Diceros bicornis minor: one gene and its partner. The protein of the gene in region 1 purifies or fractionates together with the protein of each later gene. This does not show direct contact. Links are inferred from orthologs where the notes say so. Each region holds a gene or a part of one and is shown on either strand. Other genes may lie near its edges.

The links.
Region 2: the proteins of FGF11 (region 1) and AHCYL1 purify together in Homo sapiens (affinity purification with mass spectrometry; 3 studies listed by BioGRID and IntAct, with this or other methods). This does not show direct contact. The link is inferred for Diceros bicornis minor from reciprocal best matches to the Homo sapiens genes FGF11 and AHCYL1.

What each region holds. Positions count from the first base shown.
Region 1 is NC_080757.1:10,882,387-10,889,798, reverse strand, and holds the start of FGF11 (fibroblast growth factor 11), read left to right. Parts: upstream 1-4,291; 5' UTR 4,292-4,411; coding exon 4,412-4,604; intron 4,605-6,238; coding exon 6,239-6,349; intron 6,350-6,543; coding exon 6,544-6,647; intron 6,648-7,120; coding exon 7,121-7,319; intron 7,320-7,412. Other genes in the region: TMEM102 (transmembrane protein 102), read left to right, coding at 655-868, 970-2,285.
Region 2 is NC_080743.1:43,022,759-43,030,592, forward strand, and holds the start of AHCYL1 (S-adenosylhomocysteine hydrolase-like protein 1), read left to right. Parts: upstream 1-4,756; 5' UTR 4,757-4,807; coding exon 4,808-4,927; intron 4,928-7,834. UniProt on the Homo sapiens protein: Multifaceted cellular regulator which coordinates several essential cellular functions including regulation of epithelial HCO3(-) and fluid secretion, mRNA processing and DNA replication.

The DNA of each region.
Region 1 (7,412 bases):
ATCAGGCACTAGTTCAGCGGAACAAGAAGGGACATGGGGGCGTGGCCCCAACGCCTTGGTAGCACCGAAGACAAACTATAACTCCTAGGATAGCGCGAGATCTCCGCAGAGAGGGAGAGTCTGAACTCTGACTGGAGGCGGGGCCGGCCCGGAACCACCCTGACAGCCTCCAGAAAAGGGCGTGGCCCTATTTAGGGGCGTGGCCTTATGGGCAGCAGGAAGAAGTTACCTGTTGAATCATTTTATGCATTCTCTTCCCAACCCTTGTAGCTACCCCGAAAAGGGAAGCCGCAGACCATAGGCTCTTCCGAAAAAGAGGTAAGGGGAGGTAAACAAGGGGCGGCGGAGGAGACTGGCTATCGCATTCCGTAGGAGGAGTCCAACAGCTAATTTTTACCTGCTGAGTCAGGTGAACTGGTCCATGGGGGCGGGGACTAGCATATGAGAAAAGGGCAAGGACGGAGGAGGTATTTGTTCGTTTTCAAGACTAAATTCAGAGCCCTTCATCTGCAGACCCATTGGCGGACTGTCTCTGGGGCACTCTCTCGGCCTCGGGAAGAGAAAAGAACCGGGGCGACTTTTCAGCAGCAAAGGAAAGGCCCGTCTAGGCTTTCTCCCCTCCGTGTTTTCCCTAGCCCAAATTGATAGAGCCACATGGCTTCCACGGTCTGGGGGAGTGCACCCTGGTGGGGCCCGCCGCCCCCAGCCCCAGCCCGGCCGCTCATGGACATCGACTTCTGCTCCGGAGCGCAGCTGCAGGAACTAACCCAGTTGATCCAGGAGCTAGGTGTACAGGAGAGTTGGAGTGACGGGCCCAAGCCGGGACCAGACCTCCTCCGGGCCAAGGACTTTGTCTTCTCTTTGCTCGGTAAGTAACCCTCTCTGCCTTCGGGAACTCACAGATCTCAGCCCCGCCCCACCCAGCCCCGGCTTTGGGTCACGCCCTCACAATCCCTTCTCTTCCCTTAGGTCTTGTTCACCGCAGAGACCCCCGCTTTCCTCCCCAGGCAGAGCTCTTGTTGCTTCGTGGCGGGATTCGCGAGGGCTCCCTGGATCTGGGGCCTGCACCCCTAGGTCCCTACGCCCGGGGACCTCACTACGACGCCGGCTTCACACTCCTGGTGCCGGTGTTTTCTCTAGACAGCACTGGGCAGGAGCTACAAATGGACAGGGAATCCTGTTACGCATGGCTCTGTCTCCCAGAGCAGTTACGCGGAACCTCGGTCCGGGAGGCATGGCAGGATTGCCTAGGACCCCCAGTCCCAGGAGGACTTGATTCGATCCACAGAACCGAAAGTGAAGGAAGTCCCAAGGACTGGCAAAGCTCAGTGGACCAGCCGCATGGTTACATCAGTGAGCATGAGCCGCAGGTGTCTTTGGAAAAACCACCTAGTAACATTTCGGGGCCCGAGTCGCCTGGGCAAGACGTAACCGATCTTGGCTTTCCCGCACCATTGAAAAAACTGAATGGTGACGTCACCAAAGCAGCCGACGTTAGCCCAGTCCCACAGCCGTCGGAGGCTTGGGAGACATGGCCCACATTGTGCCCCGCACAGGTGGCTGCGTGGTTCTTTGCTTCTTTGGCCGCGGTCGCTGAGTCTCTGTTCCCGGTCCCTGGTGCCCCGCGCTTGGTCCACGCAGCCCGCCACGAGGGGTTCACCACCGTCCTCCTGGCTACGCCGGGCCCCCCGCGCCACCTCCTGCTCTTCGACCTGATCCCCGTGGTGTCCGTGACCGGCTGGCCCGAAGGGGCTCGGAGCCACTCGTGGGCCGGCCCGCTGGCTTCCGAGTCGTCCTTCTACCTGGTGCCCGGCAGCAGCACAGAGCGGCCGGGCGCTTCGGGCTGGCAGCTCTGCTTCGCCCGCCAGGAGCTGGCGCTCAAGGCGCGCATACCCGCTCCGTTGCTGCAAGCGCACGGGGCGGCCCAGGCCCTGCTGCGCCCGCTGGTGGCCGGGACCCGGGCCGCGGCGCCCTACCTCCTGCGGACGTTGCTTTACTGGGCGTGCGAGCGGCTGCCGGCGCTCTATCTGGCGCGGCCCGAGAATGCGGGCGCCTGCTGCCTCGGGCTGCTGGATGAGCTGGGCCGTGTGCTCGAGGCCAGGATGCTGCCCCACTATTTTCTGAGCGGCCGAAAGCTGCGTGCGGGGGACAGCGCCGCTGCGCTGCTCGGAGCGTTGGCCCGGCTCCGCGGGGACCCTACCGGGGCCCTGCGAGCAGCGGTGGAGGAGGCCAAGGCTGCGCGCAAGGGGGGCGGCTTAGCTGGCGTGGGAGGCGGGGCCCATTAAAGACGCTGCTCCTACCAGCGTGGAAAGTGCTTGTTGTTGGCCAGCGGGATGTGGAGGGTGACTGCTCGCCCCTCGCCTGGGAGACAGATCTAGTGCCCTGCCCAAAGGTCCCTTTCTAGAAGGCCTCCTCGCCGGTTCCTCCCCATCCTCCCACCCTCCTCCCGCCCCATTCTTGGCATAGGTCCTTCCATTCCGGCCTCTCTACTTTCCAAATCTGTGGCCAGCAACCCTCTCACTCCGGTGCAGCCTCCGGTAACCATCTCCCCCCAATTCTTATGGCCTTTTCTCTTAGGAGTCAATAGGATGGGGGAATGTTTTTTGCTGACAAAACGTGGAAGGGAGAGAGGTATGGAGACCAGGGACTGACCAATTTGGCTCACACAAAAGCAGAGATATTAATGAGGCCGGATTTCACCCCAGGCTAGATCTCACCACTACCCCCATCTCTTCAGTTATTGCCCCCACTTTCCTCATCCAGTTGTGAACTCCCATCCTGGGCAGTAGAGTCTCTTCCCTTTCTCCATTCTTGGGGCGTCCGCCATTCCGTCTGCCTTAAGCCCAACCTCTCCCCCCATCCAGGGTTCCATTCAGTGGAGTCGCCTCCTTGTCCCTCCTCCTCTGAACCCCGAGACATGCGGCCTTGCCTCCACTCTGCCTGCCTCTAAGACCGTCCCCACTCCCTGCCTCCAAGGAACCCTGGGGTTCCGCCCGCCCAGCTTCACCCCACTCTTTCCCAGCGTCTCCGCCCCCTGCCCCGCCCCCGGGCCGGCTCTCCGAGGAGGGGGAGCTGCTGTCGCCGCCGCCGCCTCAGCTCCCCAACAGCCGCTGCCGCTGCCGCGCTCCCGCCGCTCGGCTTGGTCCAGCGGCCAGGCCCAGTGCTCTGACTTCGCTGTACCAGGGCGCTCTGCGGAGACACCCTCACTCCTTCCTGGGGTCCTGGGCGCCTAGCCGGGCTTGGGGGGAAGCTCCGCTTGCAGAGGACGGGGGGGGGGGGAGCCTGGAACCGGAGCCAGCGCCACCTGTCGCCGGATCAACAAGACAGGACAGGTTGAGGGGCGTCGGGGAAGGAAGAGGGGGTGCTGTAGGCAGTCCCGGGGAGGAGACGAAGCTCTGTCGCAGGAAGCTCTGATGCGCTCTGACTTGTAGGGGGCCTGTTCACATTTGGGGATTGGTGACAACGTGGGTGCACTCCTCGCTGAGGGGGCTGAATGGATTAGAGGGCGTGGGATCTAAACAGCACCAGCTGTCCCCGAGGAAATTAAGGGACAGCCAGGAAAAAAAAAAAAAGAAGCAGAAAAACCGGATGCTCCTTATTTCCAGGTAAGGGAGGGACCTCCAGACAACAACCTGGTGTATCCATTAGGAAGGGAGGCTTTGGATGTGGCTTCAAAAGGAGAGGAGGATAACAAGGTGAGGAAAGGGGCTCAACCGCGGGAACCCAGTGCCACTAGAAATGGGAGTGACTTGGTGAAAAAAAAGGTATTGTCCAGAGACAGGGTCTAGGAACCCCTTCTCACTGACCACGGACAGCTTGGATATTCCCAGACATAGTTTTTGGGGATTTCAGTGAAAAAAGTGGGGGATCCTCTCCACTTAGAGGATGGCAAAGACACCAAGGTTGGATTCCTCCCTGACATTGGCAGCACGCTAGTAGGGATGGGGTGGGGTGAGCTAATATATCCCCAAAGCTAAGGACCCACACCTTTTAGATTACAAGAGTAGATTTGGCAGGAGTGCAGGGCCCCAAAATAGGGTGGAAAAGTGCCTGGGGATATTGGAACTACATCTTGGAAATTTTGAGGGTCTTGGCTTTGGGATAGCGGAAGTGGGAACAGGGACGCTGGAGAGCAGGGAAAGGGAGAGTTTTCAGTAGGGGGCGAAAGTCGAGGGTGGGGTCTACTGAGAGGTACATAGGCTGCTGGGTCCGGAGCTAAGACGGGGCCCAAGGGTGGGAGCTGGTGTAAAGGGGTGGGGGGGAAGGGTCTAGGGCTTATCCTCAGGTCCTGTTGGTGGGGCGCAGAATCGGGACTGTAGTGTCGAGCATGCCCTGGTGAGCGGGCTTCTCTGGAGGAGCCCAGCGCGCTTCGGGCGCTTGCTGGTTTGGGGGTGTCTCTTCCTGGGGCGCCATGGCGGCGCTGGCCAGTAGCCTGATCCGGCAGAAGCGGGAGGTCCGCGAGCCCGGGGGCAGCCGGCCTGTGTCGGCGCAGCGACGCGTGTGTCCCCGCGGCACCAAGTCCCTTTGCCAGAAGCAGCTCCTCATCTTGCTGTCCAAGGTGCAACTGTGCGGGGGGCTGCCCGCGCGGCCAGATCGCGGCCCGGGTGAGTGGCTGGGGCGGGGTCTCCGGGCCTTGGGTCTCTCTGCCTGGGAGGTTGAGGCCAGAGACTCTGAAGAATGCGGCCCGACTGAGGGCGCTCCCCGAAAGTGAAAGGGGGTGGGCCAGGACAACAAAGTCTCTGCCAGACTATGCCTCAGTTTCCCTTCTCTTTTGTCCATAACCTCGAGTCTCCTTGCTTTCGAGGGCAAGGGGAAAGCTTGAGGGGCTAAGTCGGGGGCCCCTAAGCCTCACAGCTCCTGCTCGCCGCCCCCAACACAGGAATCCCCACCCCCACCGTTCTCCGCCTACGTGCCGGCTCTCGCGATTCTTGCAATCCCGAGCGGAGGGGCTGGGGGTTCCGGACGCCTGGGTCACCTCGAGGGTTTCTGCAGCTCCGGCAGCCCCGCCCCCGCCCCGGTTCTCCCGCTCCTCCCCGCCTCGGCTGGACTCCTTCTGGCCGAGCTTGCCTGGCTCGGCGCCAATCCCCGCTCCTCTCCCCCGGCTGTCCTTGCAGCTACCTCACCAGTCCCCCTCTCTGTGCGCCATCCTCCCGTGACCTGCGCTTCAAGAAGGGAACTGGGCACCCCCCCGTTACCCCCTACGCGACTCCAAAATCGGGTCCCACATACTCAGGGGACCCTCTGCCGCCAGGAACTCAGACACAGTACATGGCTGGAGACCTGCACGGAGACTGGGGGTTGTACCACCTACGAGGAGGTACAGGGAAGTCGGCCTAGAGCAAGCGACGGGGAAGGAGAGCTATGAGGGTTAGCGTGTAGTCCCCGTCCAGTTACGACAGGCAGGGAGTCCCTCTGGCCTCGGTCCCGCCCGCTCCCAGCTCTCCTGGGGGTGGCCCCTTCGCGGTCTCCTCTCCCCGCCGCCGGCCCTCCACAGTGGTACGGTCCGCAGCCCACCCTTTGAGTGGGACCGGGCCCCACGTGACTCAGCCTGCCTCGCCAGCTCCCCAGCCCCCTCCCCCATTTCCTTGATTTGGTACCGAATGTCCCCCACCCCAGGCGGGTTACCTGGCTGAGCCTCAGGGAGGGCTGGGCCCCCCGGGAGCCAGCAGACTGACAGACAGACAGACAGACAGATGGGTCAGTGTCAGACAGGCCGGCGCTGGGCCAAGGCAAGGCCCGCGCCAAGCAAGCGGCAGCCGCAGCAGCAGGTGCTGAGTCAGCGTCAGGCCCAGTCCCACCCCCACTCCTGAGGGGGCGCCCCTACCTTGTGGTCACTTTGCTGCCCCCCACATTCGCAAACACACTGCCCCTTCAGCAGCCCTGCCTGTCTCCCACTGTCCTCTGCCTTTTGATGTATCTCTCCCCTTCCTCTTCCCTCTTCTCCCCTCCCCCTGCTTCTGGTTGAGCTGTAGAGTAGGAATTAAGCAATTTCAATAAATTTCAATAAATTAAACTGAAAGCTGGTGGTTAGAGGAAGCAGAAGGGACCCACACCCCAGCTTTCTCAGGAGTCAAAGAGAGGTGGGAGAGAGCTTGCTTGGAGGATCCAAGAGCTGGGGCCCTGGGACCCTCTTCCTTCCCTCCATTCTCCTTTGTTTGTTTCTTCTGATCCCGCCAAGTGTAGAAATGTTTCTGGGAACAGAGATGTCATTTTCAAAGACGAATGTCTCTCTCTCCAGAGCCTCAGCTCAAAGGCATCGTCACCAAACTGTTCTGCCGCCAGGGTTTCTACCTCCAGGCGAATCCTGACGGGAGCATCCAGGGCACCCCCGAGGACACCAGCTCTTTCAGTGAGAGGGGAAGCCAGTGGCTGGGTGGGAAGGGGGAGATGGGGCTAGGAGATGACAATCCTATTCCCTTTCAGGTTCTGTTGTTTTCAGTCTGGCTCTTTGATCCCCCAAGGGCAGAAGTGGAGCTGGGATGGGGGGAGCTTAGATGGGGGTTCGAGGCCTGGGGTACTGATGCCCGCTCTCTCCACCCCCAGCGCACTTCAACCTGATCCCAGTGGGGCTCCGTGTGGTCACCATCCAGAGTGCCAAGCTGGGTCACTACATGGCCATGAATGCTGAGGGGCTGCTCTACAGCTCGGTGAGACAGTGAGGCTGAGTGGCCTGGGGTTTGGGGACTCGCCCACATCAGAGCACCTCCTCTAGGGTCCATCCAATCCCTACTCCTTGCACAGCCCCCCAGATACCCCCAGGCTCTTTGAATGTCCAACTCTCTCAGCCTTTTAGGGCCGCCATTTCTTGTCCTACCTCCTCTCGACTTCATTATTACTCACTTCCCTGAAGTCATTCACGATAGGGGACTGTGAGAGGTTGGGAGTAGAGTAGAGAGAAGGTATCTTCTTATTCCAGGGCTCCCAAAAGTCTAGTTCCTGACCCTCAGGGGCCTTCCTCATCCTCTTTTTCTCCCAGTTTCTGCGTGGGCTCAGAAGTTGGCCCTCCCAGCCCGAAATGTGTGGATTATATCCTGGCTTGTTCTTCCCAGGGCTGCCTTCTGTCCAGTGATGTGTCTTTTTGTCTCTGTCTGTGTGCCTTTCTGGGTCTTTGTCCCCTCAGCCACATTTCACAGCTGAGTGTCGCTTTAAGGAGTGCGTCTTTGAGAATTACTATGTCCTGTACGCCTCTGCTCTCTATCGCCAGTGCCGTTCTGGCCGGGCCTGGTACCTGGGCCTGGACAAGAAAGGTCGAGTCATGAAGGGAAATCGAGTCAAGAAGACCAAGGCAGCTGCCCACTTTGTGCCCAAGCTCCTGGAGGGTGAGTATGACTCAAGAAAAGGTGGGCCACATGGGAGGGTATTGACCTTGACATCGATATTTAGCTCAGGGGCTACAAGTGTTAAGAGGACAC
Region 2 (7,834 bases), on another chromosome or scaffold:
CTCTGGCAGGACCTAGTGCTGTGACCCACCCTTGTCTGTTTTGCTTGAAAGCCATTCCCACTCTGACTCCTACCCCGACACACTCTGTTTATACTGCATTAAGTTGGAAACAACTCATGCCCAACAATAGGAAAATGGGTAAGCAAACTCCTATGGCAATAGGATGGAACCCTTGGGAAACAGTGACAAGGACAAGTACGTAAACAATGTCCACATGTGGTACACGTGCTTTCAAAACACTATGATTTGATCAAACTGGAACACAAAATGACATATACCTACTGATCACAGGTATGTAAAAGTGAGTTTCTGCAAATTGATAAGAACCTGAAGTGAACTTAAAGAGATTTTTATCTTCACGGGTTTTTCTTTCCTATAAAGATTATGTTCAAAACAATAATAAACAGTAAAATGCATAATAAATAGGATCATAATAAGCACAGGAGGAGGCAGAGAAGGAGGAGGAGTCTTTCTAGGCCCTGGGGGACGGCCTATCTTCTCAAAAGGGCTGGAATTGAATACAGGGGAGGGAAGGAGGCTGGAAGTGGGGGAATGAAGGAGCTCAGTGGGAAGCAGGAGCCAGGCATGCCTGGGGAGCCAGCACCAGAGGCGCAGAGGTGCAGCTGGGAGCCTTCCCCTTGGGGAGTCCCTCAGGGACAGCAGGGCAGACCAGCAATCTGGACTCGTGCTCCAAGGGCACATTTCACATCAATTACAATGTCAATGGTGCCTTCCAGAGTTGTGCAACATGGCGGTTCTGGGACAGAAAGATAATGGGAGGGGGTCTGCTGGACACAGAGCCACTGAGCTGTTCACCTGTTTCCATACTTCTATTGTCACCCAAGATCTCCTGCAATTTTTCTGCACCATTCATTTCGGAGGACTAAAGTGGGGCCTGGCCTACAGGAGAGCACAGCCTTGCTGCAGGGTGCTGGGGGTACCAGACTGGCAGGGAGCAGATGGTGTGAAAGGCTCCAACTTAGGCTCCCCTGGACATAGGGCAGCACACTCCACAGACATATCAACCTCAACATGTCTTAAGCTGACTCCTTATCTCAGCAGCCCCTCCACCCAGACCTGCCTCTCCTCCCGTGTTCCCCATCTCGGTACATGTCACCACCATCCAGCCACATCTGGCTCCAGCTTCAGCTCTCACTCTGCTCTACTTTGTACCCTGTGTCCCACTCACACTGAAATGTTTACAGTTCCCATAACATGCCAAGTTCTCTCATTGCCCTGCCAGGCTATGCCTTCAGCCTGGAATCCCTTCCTTACCTCGTCCAGCTGCTTAACTGTCAAGAGTCAGGTAGAGCAGCATCTTCCTCTATGAAGCCTTTCCTGCTCATCCCCATCCACCATCCCACCCACCTTACCCTCCACCATCTGTCCCCACGTAGACATCAGTACTTCATTCCTCTCTGTTGTCCCAACATCCAACACTGCTCCTTCTTCAGCATTCAATGTATATTTTATGAATAAAAAAAAAAATGACTGAATTTGGAGGGTAAATTTTAGGGTGGATTTGATTAATAAGATCAAGCCCATGTGTGGTACCCTTTCTAGAGCAGGGTCCCCTCTGGTCTCTAAGCCCTTCGGAGACTTCCCCTGACCACACACAATAGGTGCACCTGTCCTTGGGTCCCCGCTCTTCTCAAACACTGGCCCCTGGTGGCTTCTCTCATCTGTGTGTGGATTGTGCTGTTCAGGGGAGTGAGCCCCGACTCATCCACCTGACTAAGCTCAGAGGCACTGCGTCTGGTAGGTGGGTGGGTGGGCTGAAGACAGGTCATTTCTTGGCATCCATGAGAGGCAACACCTTAGCTGGTCCATGTGCAGCCATCTAGGAGTGGTGGGGGCAGCGTGCAATGGTTCTCACTGATGTTATGTCATCACACTTTCTGGCTGAGTGAGCTCTTTGATCTCCAGTCACACACAATGGGAGCAAGGGCAGCCACTCATGTCCTCTGCAGCAAGCTGGTTTCCAGGAATGCCCTTGGCTGTGGCCTGACATGAACCACGTAGGCCTGCTGCCTTTCCACCAGGGCAGGGAGCGCTGCCCCTCCATCCTTCCAGTCTAAGCACCCCGACTCCCCTAGGTCAGCCTCCCCAAACCCACCTTGGGCCAGGCACTCACGTAAGTGGAGTCACACCTTCTGGTCTCCTTCTTGGCTCAAACTGTGAAGGTACTGCTTCCTCTAGGCCTGGCCCTGTCTTCACCACCCCCAACAGCAACAGCCAATCCTGTGAACGTGGTGATAGGGAAAACCTGTTACTTTGGTTCAGGAGTAAAAGAGAGGCTGAACTTCAGTCTCCAGGAATCTCATAATCTGAATACTAACATGCACAGCATGTCCTGAGAGACAAAGCTCTCAGACAATGGAAGTTTTAAAAATCAAATCCAAAAGACAAACACACCCTGCTTCCTTATTTTTAAATAGGCTATCCTAAGTCACATGTTTTCCTATTCAAGGAATGTGGAGTTTTCACCTCTGTTCCAACTCGTTCTGCCTCTGTTCTCTGAGCAGGCAGCTCTGATCCCTGGACTCTGACAATAGTTCAGGCAAACCCATAGGATGAAAGCTACCTCAGGCCATATGTCCAAAGAGTCCTGGGTGGGCAGGTATAGCTCTGGGCCCCGGCTGGGAGATGAGGAGAAAGGTGCCAGTCTGGCACCCTTACAGATGAATCCAGCATTCTGGTTCCCCATCTCTCTGTCCCTTATGCTACAGGAATACCCCTGAGAGGGAAGTTGAGGGGCTTGAAAGAGTGGGCAGATGAGAGAATCCTGACAGTTAAAGACCAGGATCTGCAGAAGTGTGCATCCTACCAGGCACTTCCACAGCCTGCATCAAACAGATGGCCTCATGGGGCTGGAACATGGGCTTCTCTGTCTAAGACTTCTGGAGCCCCACAGGCAAGTATTTCACATACTTCCCAACTTTGAACATAAACCAGTGGGGAAAATATCACTTCAAACTACAACTTCTTTCTTGAAAGAGTTGACCCTGTCAGAGACCTGGTAGGTTTCTGGATATGAAAAGGTGGCCTGGGGAGAAATTTAGGAAAAGGGCAGTGGGAAGACTTGAATAGTCAGCACCGTAGAGAAAAATCTGGCTTCCCAGAGTTACTCAAGGAGGGGAGGATGAGGTGGAGGGATGGGAAGGGAATAAGAAGAGGAAGCTAGATTAGATGGCAATGGGCTAGGGATCTTTGTGGGGTGGTGCGGCCAGTGAGAAATCCTGGGTGACAAGATAGCCAAAATAACTTTTCAGAACATTTTAGAAATATGACTTTAAATTGTTTGCTGTGTGATGTAATCTCTCCCCTGTGGCCCACAAACCTTCATTAAAAGTTCTGCTACATGTTACGGCATTATTTTTGTGGTTGTTTTGGAATAGGGGTGGGGGTTAAAAGGAGAAGGGGCTATGTTCCATATTTGAATTGACAGCAGGAACTAAAGAAACAGCTACAAAACCAGAATAGCGAACAAAACTTCAGATGAGGCAGAAAATTAGAGCCAGAGGTAACCATGAAAATCTAAGTCCCCCCAGTAATTCACAGAAATCCTGGGGAGGGCATTGGACTTTCCACAGGAAATGGGAGTTGGAGCCAACGTCGTTCGAATCTCAAAGGACAAGCTACCTCAGCTGACATTAGGTTGCAAATACGGTTTGAGTCTTCGGGTGGACAAAGCCTTGCAAAACATAAAACGTATCACACTCATCTTTACTATCCAGGGTCTAGCACAAGAACAGTACGTAGTACGGCCCAGTAACAGCATGTACATGGTCCATGAACGCCCTGGTTGCCGCACTGGGAGCTGGCAGAGTCTCGTGCTTAAGGGGCGGGGTGCATGGAGCAGGAAAGCCATTCAGGCTCCTCCACCCCCGCCCCTCATGCTCTCCACCCTCTGACCCATTATCCCTATGCTCATGGCCGACAACATCAGCTCTGCGGCCTGAAGGTCTTGTAAACAGGCAAGGCCCAGCGGAGACGGTGGTGAAGGAGGTCACAAAGGGTCGCGCAGAAACCACACAGCTTGGAATCTGTTCTGCCCACCCTTAAGTCAAAGAGGCAAACACTGCCCCTTGGGAAGGGGCTTCTGGTCCAAAGGGCCTGGGGTGGGGGCAGTGAGTGGGCTGTCTTGGGCCCCGAATGTCACCTAGGACTGGCTGTAGGATGTGTCGTGTGGGACTCTGGTCTTTGCTCCCAAGCATCCCCCTCACGCTCTTCCGAGATCTTGCCCGAAAGCCCGCAGTCCCAAACGCCCCCCCCCCGAATTACGCGGCACCCTTGCATGAACCACGCGCCTCTCACAGGGCTGATGGCGCCACCTGGCGGCGCAAAGGGTCAGGCTCACGCTGGGAGCTTCAGCACCAGCGAGCTGGGAGGAAGAAGGGGTGGCTTCGGCGGCCCAGTCCAGCGTGGTGACGTCATGACAGAGCGCCGTTTCTCCCCGCCTCTTCCTCTTCCCCGGAGCTGCCAGTACTTGACGTGGCGTCACCTTCCTCTACCCTTACTTTGCGTGCGTGTTTGCGTGCGGCGGAGGTGGTGGCGCGGACCGGTCAGAGCTCCGCGCTGCTGCTTCTGGTGCTCTCGTCGCCGCCGTTGCTGTTTGGCTGTCTTGGACTGCGGTGCGAACGCGGCACGGGTCACAACTCCTCAGCCCCGGACGCAGCTCGGCGCGGGGCCCGGCGGGAGGGTGGGCGAGCGCGTGTCGGAGGGAGCCGCGCGGGCGGGCGAGCGGGCGCCCGAGAGGGAAAGAGGCGGGGGCGGCGGGTCAGCCGCGGGCCCGGCCGGCCGGGGGATGTCGATGCCTGACGCGATGCCGCTGCCCGGGGTCGGGGAGGAGCTGAAGCAGGCCAAGGAGATCGAGGACGCCGAGAAGTACTCCTTCATGGCCACCGTCACCAAGGCGCCCAAGAAGGTGCGGGGGCTCTGAGTGGCGGCGGAGGCGCAGGCTGGGGCCTCGCGGAAGGGGCGCGAGCGAGCCCGGGGCTCCAGCTAGTTCGGGACTTCGGGGCAAGGTTCGAGGTGCCCCGGGACGGCCGAGGTGGTGTGAGGGGCGGGTGAGCGGCCCCAGACCTATCCCGAGCTGTAAAGGCCGCCCCTGACCTCACTTTCCTTTGTCCCTCGGCCCTCGGGATCTTTTCGAAACCCGGCAGGGCTGGGCCTTAAATTTGCGGCTGACTTTTCCTGGATGAAAGGTCTCCAAGACGGGAGTGGGAGGGGGTGAACCAATTCAGTGGATCTCTGTGACCAGCCCCATGGGATGGAGGTGTTCAGAAAATCTCCCCTCGGGCGAGTGTGTAAATCGGGTAGAGCTGCTTCGGGCAAATCTTTGGAAGCGGTGGCCGGTTTATCCAACAACTGCGTGCTAGCTTGGAGCAGGAGGGAAAAAATGCGTGGAGCTGGGTCTTTTATGCAGGTGAAAGCAATGAGGACAACATGCGATTCAAAAGAAAACTGATTTTCACCTTTTACGGTCGTCCAGTTGCTTCGACATATGTGAGAAATTAACCTTTGGAGGTTGGTGACAGCAGACATTGTCATGGATACAGGTTGATCGTAGTCATGTGCATAGATCACTTAGGCATCCCCTGAGAAAGGAGCTTGGGTGGGTTGGAGGGGTGGGTGGTAAGGAACGATTGCTCATTCTTTACTGCACTTACTGAGGCAGAACAAGTTTAGTCTGTTGTGCTGGGGGTTGAGCTCAAAGGACGCCCTTCTAATTCTCTTGTGGAAAAATAAATGGCAGCCTTTGGAGGTTTTAGTCTAACTAGTTCTCAGAGTGGTGGAATTGGGATTTGTAGTGCTTTCTGAGCATTTGTTGCCAACCACATCTTGACTTGTGACATACCTGGCATCCAGTTAACAATAGACCAGAGAACCTTTGCAGAGACGTGACCTTTCTGAAACCAGTGAGAACCTGGATAAATATTTCCCTCCTATATAAAGACAGAGTGTTTCAAGGCTGTCTCTCTCTGCCTGCAGTGTTTGATGGGAGGCAGTGCTTCTATAAGCTGAACAAAGCAGGGTTTGCAGGAGTAGTTACAGTCTTGGAGGCTCCTGCACCTGAGCTCGTTATGCTGTCATAAGTGGGAGAGATGACTTTTTTTTTTTGAAAATTAATCTACTACTCCAGAAATCAAGTGCAGAATTGAAAAGACAGGTCACCATCGTGTGCTTTAGCTCTGTTTTGCCACAAAATTAAGCTCTTACCAATAGAATGCCTAAAAAAAGGTTATAGAAGATCCCTTGGTTCTAAGAAGTCTGATTAACCTTATTTTTAGTGCTATCAGTTCAGCTGACTGCTTTGTTGGGGCAGTAACCCTTTGTAACCTGCATTATTTGGAGATACAGTCTCAGCCTTTATAAGCAGAAGGCTTAAGGGTAGTACCTGTGATGAGTTAGGGGGAAGAATGGGAAAGCCCTGGTACCCTAATCCCCTGAACTCATCCTCTCCCCATTAGCCTGTCCTCTTTTGTCTAGTTGCTTCAAGAATTAGGTGTTTTTATTCTTACTTGCCTCTATTTTAGTAAGGCTTTATTCTTGGAAGTGCCACTATTAGTAAGACAAAGTTTGTATTGTAGATTGTAAACTCAGTAAAGGCAGGGACTCGTGTTCACCATTGTATCCACTCTGCCTAACTCTGTACCTGGCATACAGTAGGTAGTCAAATATTAATTGCCCACCTGGCTAACTAGTAATTTGTCTGTATGACTGCCTACCAGGAATAAGTATCCCTTTTCCTCTTTTCTTCCCAGGAGGAATATTGCTAATGTGTACGATTGTCAGGCCAAGTGGGAATGATTTTAGAGACTCATATCCCATTAGCTGAAAGAAGCAGTTTTTGCCAGGAATGTGGGAAGACCCTGTTGTAAGTTTCCATTTGCTGGTAAATGTACCGCCGGGTTTCTTATTAATCTGCTCCTTCTGAGCTTTATTGTTTAGCATTTACGCAGCACTTTGTATTAAACTGCTTTATGATGACTAATTACCCTTTCCCTGGTGATGATAAAAGGCATTTATTTAGTTAATGAGTTGGTTGAGGACTAGTCAAGGTCACGTAGCAATTCCTAGGTGATCTGTTTTTTCAGAACTTCAGCTGAATTGGACATTGTGTTTCAAGTCACTTTTGTACCTCTGCCATGTACTGATACTGTGAGAAAGCATGAAAAAAGTAAGAGGAAAAATGTAGCTTGGCCTGTACTGAATGGTGTGAGAAAAAGGCCTCTTTAAATGGTGCCGTCCTTCACCTGTGAGGATTCCAGTGTGGTTCTAGACCAAGTAATCCTTGGATCATTCCAAGCCCTAATGCCCTTCAGGGAATGAGGACATTTCTGGTGCCAGTCAGGGTGACTTGGATAGTCCTTAGATCAGATTCCATTGTAACTGGTGAAATTTTATTCACTATGTTTGGGGAAGCGTGATGTCCATCAATTAGAAGCAGAGATGTTGGGAATCTTCAACTATAACCATAACTTATTCAGTTTTGTATACCCCAGGGTCTACCACAGTGCTATGTAGGTAATAGGATTTGTTGGTTTGATTCAAGGCTTGATCTGGTTGTCAAGAAGCCATCTAAATGGGTACCACCTTAAGCAAGTGAGCTTCTATGCCTCAGTTTCCTCATCTGCCAAGTAAGTGCTTTTTGTTTGGAATAGGCGCCTGGCATATTGGGAGCTAAGATAGCAAAAGTGGTTTTTAAAAAGAAGTCTATTAGTATACTTAAACTCTCTCTTTTTAATGAGCATTTGAGATGGCTTATAACACAGGACACATACAATGTGGATAGGAAGTCAAAACTGTAGAAAGAAGGAAAAAAGTATTG